2 linked regions of the Solanum lycopersicum genome follow. Each later gene encodes a partner of the first gene's protein in a complex. Links are inferred from orthologs where the notes say so. Each region holds a gene or a part of one and is shown on either strand. Other genes may lie near its edges.

Region 1 (4,514 bases):
TCAAAATTAAAACACTTTTTTGAATAACTATTTTAAAAATATACTTGTAAAAACAAGTAATTATAGTAGGAATGCTCCAATTCTCGAACACAAAAATCAGTGACTAAATAACCTAAAAGTAATGATTACTCATATTAGAAATTTCAATGAGAGATCAGAAACTGCGCGGGGTGGATTTAATGCTATGCGGTGCAATGCAAGTTTAAGATTGCGCGGGGTGGGTTAAAGTGTATTTCAAAAAAAACTAATGGGGTCTGAGGGTACATGTTATTTTATGCGAATTCAAACTTATTAAATTTTTTTACATGTTATAAGGTGTTATATTATTATTTATTCAGATAATTTATTTAAAGCTACTAAAATATTCAAGATAGTAAATAAAAATGATTTAATAAAAAATAATACAATTTCTTACATGCTTTCCTATTGACCTCTAAAAAAAATATTTTTTTATATCATTGTCTATTAAATTAACACAATTTAATGAAAAATAAATTTTATTCTTAGTGTCAAACTAATTAGAAAAAGAAAACATTAAAAAATGATGATGGGTTGTTCATGTGATGGCAAGGTTGGGGTTGAGAGTGAAAAAGTTGTTATTCTTGGCGGAGTGGGGCAGGCACCACACCACCCCATTGCCATCACTAACTCATATACGTGTGGCTAGTGCCGGCAAAATAAACCCATATTTTGGTGATCCGCTCAAACCGTTCATATTTTAATGGGTTGGATGAGTGATTTTTCACATGGATAAAATATGGGTTGATATCCATATTTGATCCATAAAAGTATGGGTAAATATGAGTAAATTATAAATTATTCAAATGAGTTAAACTTCTAACTTTTATTCACTCAAAATATCATTAAAAATAGTGTAGCTTATCTTGCTTTTTATGTTATACTATAAAATTAACTATTCTTCTCTCTAATTGATAAGGTGAAGTCTTTGACCCTCTAAAAATGTATAATTTAAATTTACATTCTTTTGTTAATTATAATTATATTTTATTTATTTATTTAATTTTATATTGAATAATCAATAATAGTGTAAAATAAACAAATCATTAGTATTGATATTGCTTAAAGTGCATAAGCAAGTTTTAGTCCTAAAATACAAATCTGCATTCTTTTGAAATTTAAAATATTTTCATCTTGTTATTACATAATTTATTTTATATTGAAAATTTATAGGATTATTTTTATTTTTATGATACGATCAAAGTATAAAACTAAATGAAGCGTGCATGTTTTACATTTTCACCTAAAAAAAAATTAAAATATTTTTTTCATATTGAATTCTTGAATAAAATATTATTTATTCATTAATAAAAATATGAATAAAAAATAATATTTTATCCAATTAATTTTTACTCGTATAAATATGAACCTATTTTCTATTTATCCATTTTCAACCATCCACATTCCATTCGCGGCCACTACGTGTGGCCATAACAAAGTGAATTCGAAAGATCATATCGGCTTTCTCACTACTCCCTCGTTCTTCAGTCCAATGGCTGAAATGAGTGTTACCACCGCTTCACTTCAATCCTTTCCTAAATCACTTCTCTGCTCTCTCTCAACTAGAAAATTCAACTCTTCTTTTCACCCTTCAGCTATTTTATCTCCCATTTCCAGGTTTTGCTTAATATCTAAATTCAATTCGTTTCGTTTCTCTGCTGCTGTTGTGAAGGCTGCTTCTTCTCCACACGCAAATACAAAGGAGCCAATGCTTCCTCCTTACGATGTCTTAATTACAGGTGCTTCCAAAGGTTAGTTCAATATTTATCAATGCACAATGGGTTATCATAATTTTGTCTTGATTGCGCATACCTGTCTTAGTGTACTTAAGTCTTTGTTTAGGGTTCTGTTGGGCCGTCATACATGATCATTTTATCTCTAACTTCTCTTTTTCCAACTTATAAACCTACTAAGGAACTTGAAAATGCATGGCCAAAGGGGTAAATACCATTTCCAAAAGTCAAACAAGATTGAATATGGTGTAAAATCAGATACAATGAGCTTCTTGCCAACATTTTTATGTTCTGAGTTGAAGTTGATTATTGAAGGCTCCGTTTGAACTACATTTCACTACAACAATGGTGATGCCTTATATATTCTGTCTAGTCATGCAACAACATGAAAGAGTTTAATGTTAGAAGGAGTTAATTTTTTAACGTTTGAAACAACATGACCATTCTTAATGTTTGATGTACTCCTTGGTTTCCCTTTTGCAACTTCATATTGGTTCATTGTCACCTGTGTTTTTGAAGATGTTCCCAAGAGTCGTGCAGTTTCTTCCGCTGAAACAAAAGAATATGAGGGATCACCTAAATGGCAAGAGAAATATAGTTTGCATAGTAGTGCAAACCTTATTTTCATTTTGATGACAAGCGAAACCCGTAGCCGCTACCCTTTGAGTGCGCACTGGGTAAGACCCCCACTCCAATGCAATAGCTTGGTAACCCCCACTAGGTAAGATCGGTACGACGAGCTCAACCCAGAAGGCAAACCCCTTTCTTTTGCTAGCAACTTGACAAGGAGTTTCAAACTTGAGAACTCTAACAGTCCCAAGCCCAAACCACTGGGCTAGACCTTAATTATCATGGTGGAATGATGAAGCTTAACTGTTGATGGTGTGAATTAAGTAAAATTTATAGCTTTATACTGAAGGCCATGTTTCTTCAGCTGGAGTGCTATAACATGCATCTCGATTTGTAGTTCCTTTGAGTGCCTTCAATGTCTCCCTTTCCCTGATAATTCAAAAAATGCAACGGTTGGTCATTAAAATGTATAATTTCTTGGTTCATGGTTGAAACAACCACCAACGCCTATTTATTTCATAGGTGGTCACGTTAACTTTTCTGTAACTCGATTTTATTGTTCTTTTAATATATTACGGCTCTATTCACATTTTTTTCTCGTTTTGATCGTTCTTTGATAATTTTTGTAGTGACTAAGTGTTTGTATGCTAAAACTCAGCCATGTTTTTGTGTAATCACTGGAAGACATGACTTTGTATTAGATAAGGATATAATATGTTCAATCTCCTGTTAATTGGCAACTTTAAAAGAATTCTTTACCTTCTAGCAAAACCATTATATTTGTAGCTAATAGCATGTGCTCATGGATTATATTTCAATCTGCCTACTTTGTTTCCCGAAGTGGACACATGGATATAAAACAAGTCACTCTGAAATATACAGCTGTTTCTCTATTTGTTTTCACTTAACTGCAGATGTCTAGAATTGACGTTATTTTATTATTTCAGGAATAGGCTATGCATTAGCTAAAGAATTTCTCAAGGCAGGTGATAATGTCATCATTTGCTCCAGATCAGGTGATTTTATATCATAAGTGACAATAACATTGACTTCAATGATGTCATTAACTGATAGAATTATTGGTTTTCGCATTGTTCAGTTCCTCTCTTATATTTGTTTTATTTTATAGTTTGTGAAAAAGGTAGTCAATTGTGTAAAAATGAAATATGCAGAATATATGGTGGGATCATGGGAATCGATGTGCCATTAGTGGTGTACCATAGTTCGAGAGTCATGATGATATAGGAGGAGTTGGGATACATGTTTAGTTTAAGACCACAAAATATAAAAGTCTCTCTTATTTTCTGAACTTTGTGCTTAGTCAAATTAAGACACATAAAATGAAACGGAGGGTAAAGGTGATTACTTCCCATCTGCTTAAGGCTTGATGGACAGATTACTGAATACCTATGCTGATTGGAGTTAGCAAGTATTCAGTGGAATAGTCAAGGCACATTAAACGATTCATACACCACCGTATTGTAAAAAAAATCAAGGAAATCATATGATGTAGGTGTGTGATGTCCAATTGCTACAGTTATCAAACTCGAGTGTACTATGGCAATGAAAGATATTTCATTATTCTCCTTATTCACCAAGCAAGAGATATGATGCGCAACAGATGAACACTAACTACTTCATAGTTAGTTCCTTTTGGTTGCCACAATACTATAAGAAAGAAAATGAAATTGTAATAGGCTCAGTAGTCAGAATAACTTGGATGCTGGGATCATGTTGTTGAAAGTTTGCACTGCTCTATGGTTATTATTTTAATTAGCTTGTTGTAGTTTTCCTTCCCATCAAATAGAAGAAGAAGAAGATCGGAAACCAATATTTGTATTTGGCCTTCGTGAATTTGTACCTGCACGCTCGCCTTAGTTGCGCGGACTCTCCACTTTTGGTGCCGCTCCCGTCTTGGATTCTCCAAAAATACACTACTTTTGGCGAATCCGACACGCACCCATTGACATTTTTGAAGAGTCCGAGCAACATAGACGCTCACATAAGGGGTAAACAGAGTAGTTGGAGAAATTTTACTTTTGAGTAGTTTGTATCCACTTCTGTTAAGGATGACCGTGGTCACTTTTGGAACGAAAGCTAAGAAGCTACAGCTTGTGGGAAGAAAAAAAAAGTTGCAGGCATTGGGTTAGTGATCTCTAGAGACATTAAGTGCCATACATGCAAATTAAGGAA
Region 2 (4,286 bases), on another chromosome or scaffold:
AGTTGAAATCGTTAACTGTGTGTTCCCAGTTCATCTTTTATTATAGGCATTAGAAAAAGAACACTAAATGGACTTGTCAAAGAACTCTCAATGGAATGACTAACTATAAGCGGAGGAATGGAACTGGATAAGAATAAATGAACAGAAGCCAGATCCAAATTGCTATCTCCCTGATGCTTTTGCAGTCCTTATGTATAACTCCCCAAGAAGACATCAGGTGAATGCAACTTGCAGAGAACTACAAATTATGAACAAGGATAATTCTTGAAATCGAGCAGTTACATTGGTTGGTCAATTTTGGATGCACACTCTCTTAGCTTCTCTCTATGAAGATCTATTGATCTTTTCAGCAAACACCAATTGTGCATCGGAACCCACCTAAAACACTAGTTATACATTCAATCCATACTCATCTCAACCAACTGCAGTCTCTCCTACACCGACAACTCAGTAAAACGCACCCGCTCTCCTACAACCCCCAATGGTTAGTTTGAACCAATCCAGCCGAAAAATCCCAAACACACAATAATCAACTCCTTCTAGCACCAACAACCACAACACCAATAAACATCATCCCCTATTTCTTCCAATCCTTCAGAGGAACAACACATGGACAATAATAAACTCCTAAAGCTTGCCCCTAACAGTTCACCAGAACCTCCAACTTGCTATTAACACTCAGCCTACTCTTTTGCAGATCACGCATGCAACACCTCAACAGGAAAATACTACCCATTCAAAATCCACCCACCAAAATCATTTAACCCCTCAGCCAAAGGTGTCCTCAGATTTCACACACCCTCTTCAAAATTGAAATCGGATGACGCGACCAACATCAATGGAACTGATCATAACCCTGTTGCCACTGATAAATCAGAACCCCAATATTCAACTCCAACAGAAACATCCCAATTTAGCAGGGAAAGGTAAAAGGGTGCTACTTCATCGAAACCAACCTTCACAGAAAGGTTCAAGCTGATTTGCCAATGCCTCAATCGCCGAAGCTCCTGTTGAAATTAGGCATGAGACTCATCTCGGAAAGCCAACCATATATTTCTCTGCTGATGACTATTTCGTGAATTTGGCTAATAATTGCAAATGACTATTGTGGGTAAATTTATCAAAGGAACCTACTATGAAAGAACTAAGGAAAATTTTTGTGAGTCAATTTCAATTGAAAGGAAGAGTCGAGATTGGGTACTACAACTACAACACTATTTACATTGACTTTCTGTAACAAAACAGACTTCAATAACATTTTTTCAAGTCATTCATTCACATTGGGTCGGTCATACACTATGAAATCCTGAGATGTGCACAGAATTTTAAACCAGAGCAAGAAACTTCTATTGTTCCAGATTGGATACTAGTTCACAACTTACCTCAGCACCTATTCAGATGGGAAACTCAGTGCCGCCAGATATTGAAGTTGGGAATGGTAATGGTGAGAAGGTGAGATTGCAGATCATATGAATTTTCCCCCTACAGCTCCTGAAGCTAGGGAATGGGGAACAAGCAGAGATCAAACTACTTTGACAAGATCACAGAAAAACTAGTTGAGATGTATTTCACAGAACAAACTGCAAACTATTAAAATATTAGTGGGAGTTTGCAGCACATTCACGAATTTTGTTTGTTATATATTTTTTAATTGTAACGAATGGATTGTTATTTACTAGAAAGTGCAAGATATATAGCTTGAACAAGAAATACTCAATTTGAAATTAGCTCAAAGGAAACAGATTTGATAAAAATCTTGTCTGACTTCATTGGGTGAATAAAACCAAAAATACATTTGCTGATCTTCTTAACTCCCATCACCACATTATACAGATAAGTATTTGGCATTTCAATTCATGTTACTTCTATTAAAAGAATTAGCATACATAGTAAAAAGGACAATCTACAAAAAGCACAATGCGTAATGGATTAACTCTTCTGCATAAGCCAAATCCACTAAAATAAGATGACAAGATCTAGCTTTCTCAATCATTATTCTATAGTACATAATAATTTTCTTGTTTTCTTTATCAACTTCACTATGTACAAGATAGTAGTGTATTCATTCATATTGAAGGGCATTAGGAGAAAATTCTTGGCGTTTTTTTTTTGGTTGCATACTTTATGCATGCTCAAGCCTTGAAGCAAGGCTTACACATGTTGACCACTTCGCTTAATGTGCACTTCAGTGTCGTCATTAAGTCCCAAGACAAACTTTTCCTTGAAAATAAGGGTTCTAAACTATTGGTATCACACTTTATTATTATGAAAATCAATTTCTTTGTCCATAGATTTGTTATTCACCCTGTATATACTAATTCAACAAAACATCCAACAGGAAGTAATTCTATATCATACTACATATAATTGACACAACTGCAAAAACGAATGAATAGGTAATAAATAGTAGAATCAATTGAGGAGGTAGTCGGAGAGTACCTGAGAAGAGGAATTTCCAGATCTGACATAGAGAGAAGCATGAGCAGTAGCAGATTCATTCTCAAAATACTGCACATGAGAAGGCAGAGTACAAGGAAGTAGAGACTCTCCAAGACGATTCTCCACAGTCGATACAAGTTCCACCATTAACTCTCTATGCGGAACAGATGCATAAGGAAATTCCTTAAATTTCGATTCATGATGTTCCATGGAAGTTGATGACGACGAGCAACAGAAGCGTTTTCCGACGGAAAAAGAACGAGAGGAAGAAGAGGGGAGTGATTGTGTGAGAATTGAAGTGTGAAATTTGGCAGAGGAGAGTGGAACAGCCATAGCAGGAGGACTGTCATGTTCACTGCTATCTCTTTGCTTTTTGGGAAGCAAACGAACATCACGTGCTGTGGCCCATGTAATACGCTGTCGTTTGTATTTTTAAAAATCAGAATTTTGAATTAGGATTTAAAATACAAAAATTTGATTAAACATATCTTAAACATGGTTATTTTAATCAAATTTTTGTATTTTAAATCCTAATTCAAAATTCTGATTTTTAAAAATACAATATATATATATATATATACCAGTCATTTATTTCATATGTAAATAAAATTTATAATTTCTATCATGATTTTTTAAACGGTTTGTATCTCATATAATGATTGTTCTCGCAATATGAATTTATTTTGACTTTAAATTAATGCATTTCTTAATTTATCAATTATATCTATGAAAATTATTATATTTTATCAAATTTATAACTATAGTTTTAAAAAACTTGAATTGGTCCATAATATAAAAAGGAACTTTGCATATATTCACTCAAAAATAGCCTAATTATGCTTCATAGTTATAATTTGTTAATTACAATTCGTAGCTATATGTTATAGAGAAAGAGAGTGACGAGAGAGATTGAGAGAGGGATAAGAGATACGAGCGAGAGAGTGAGAGGTGAATTACACATGTATATCAGGTAGATAATTGTGTATTATACATATGTATTTCTATATATGGCAAGCGAGATTGAGAGAGGAGGGAGAGAGATGAGCGAGATTGAGAGATGGAGGAGAGAGGGTAGAAATGGGATAGAGGTAAATTGTGTATGTATATTGGTTAGATAATTGAATATTATTCATATAGGTTTTGTATATATGACAAGTAAGATTGGGAGAAGGAGGAGAGAAGCGAGCTAGGTTGTGAGAGGGAGGAGAGAGACGAGCAAGATTGGGAGAGAGAGGAGAGAATCAAGCGAGATCGGGAGAGGGAGGAGAGAGGCAAGTGAGAGAGGGCAATAATTTGTATATTCGCATCTCGTTTGTATAATTCGTGGGTACCTTTGTATAATTCCGTGTTTTTGCATGATTGAGCAATATTAAGTTTAAAATTATACAAATATGAAAAAAAACACCTCAAAATAACGAATTGATATAAATATACATTTATTGACTTTAAATAGTTACATTAAATAAATTATATTATAAAAAAAAAGTGCACGTTTATACAAACTTTTGAAAGCTATACACAAAAAGATTGAATATATAAAGTGACAAAACTGAGAAACCAAAGGAAATTATCTCATATGCAAATACAAATCATCGTATAGAAATATAAATCAAACAAAGAATTGTTAGTTGTGAATTATACGAATGTGGATAATTATACAAACGTGACTAATTATACAACTCGAAGTCAGCCCACATAATTAATGGTTAATGTTAGTCGCATGTGGTAATTATAGCAAACTATAACTATAATGAGTAATTAAGCTGTATAAGTTTGCTTAATCGCATAATTTTTCGTAAAATATAGATAACATGGGATAAATCCAAATACCATGCAAACCTAAAGGA

The links.
Region 2: chlorophyll(ide) b reductase NOL, chloroplastic (region 1) and red chlorophyll catabolite reductase, chloroplastic share a complex: the UniProt entries of both Arabidopsis thaliana proteins name them as parts of the SGR1-CCE-LHCII complex. The link is inferred for Solanum lycopersicum from reciprocal best matches to the Arabidopsis thaliana genes NOL and ACD2.

What each region holds. Positions count from the first base shown.
Region 1 is NC_090804.1:48,915,779-48,920,292, forward strand, and holds the start of chlorophyll(ide) b reductase NOL, chloroplastic, read left to right. Parts: upstream 1-1,410; 5' UTR 1,411-1,510; coding exon 1,511-1,769; intron 1,770-3,268; coding exon 3,269-3,337; intron 3,338-4,514. UniProt on the Arabidopsis thaliana protein: Required for chlorophyll b degradation. Chlorophyll b, chlorophyllide b, pheophorbide b and pheophytin b can be used as substrates. Belongs to the chlorophyll catabolic enzymes (CCEs).
Region 2 is NC_090802.1:10,423,276-10,427,561, reverse strand, and holds the start of red chlorophyll catabolite reductase, chloroplastic, read right to left. Parts: upstream 2,840-4,286; 5' UTR 2,773-2,839; coding exon 2,440-2,772; intron 1-2,439. UniProt on the Arabidopsis thaliana protein: Catalyzes the key reaction of chlorophyll catabolism, porphyrin macrocycle cleavage of pheophorbide a (pheide a) to a primary fluorescent catabolite (pFCC).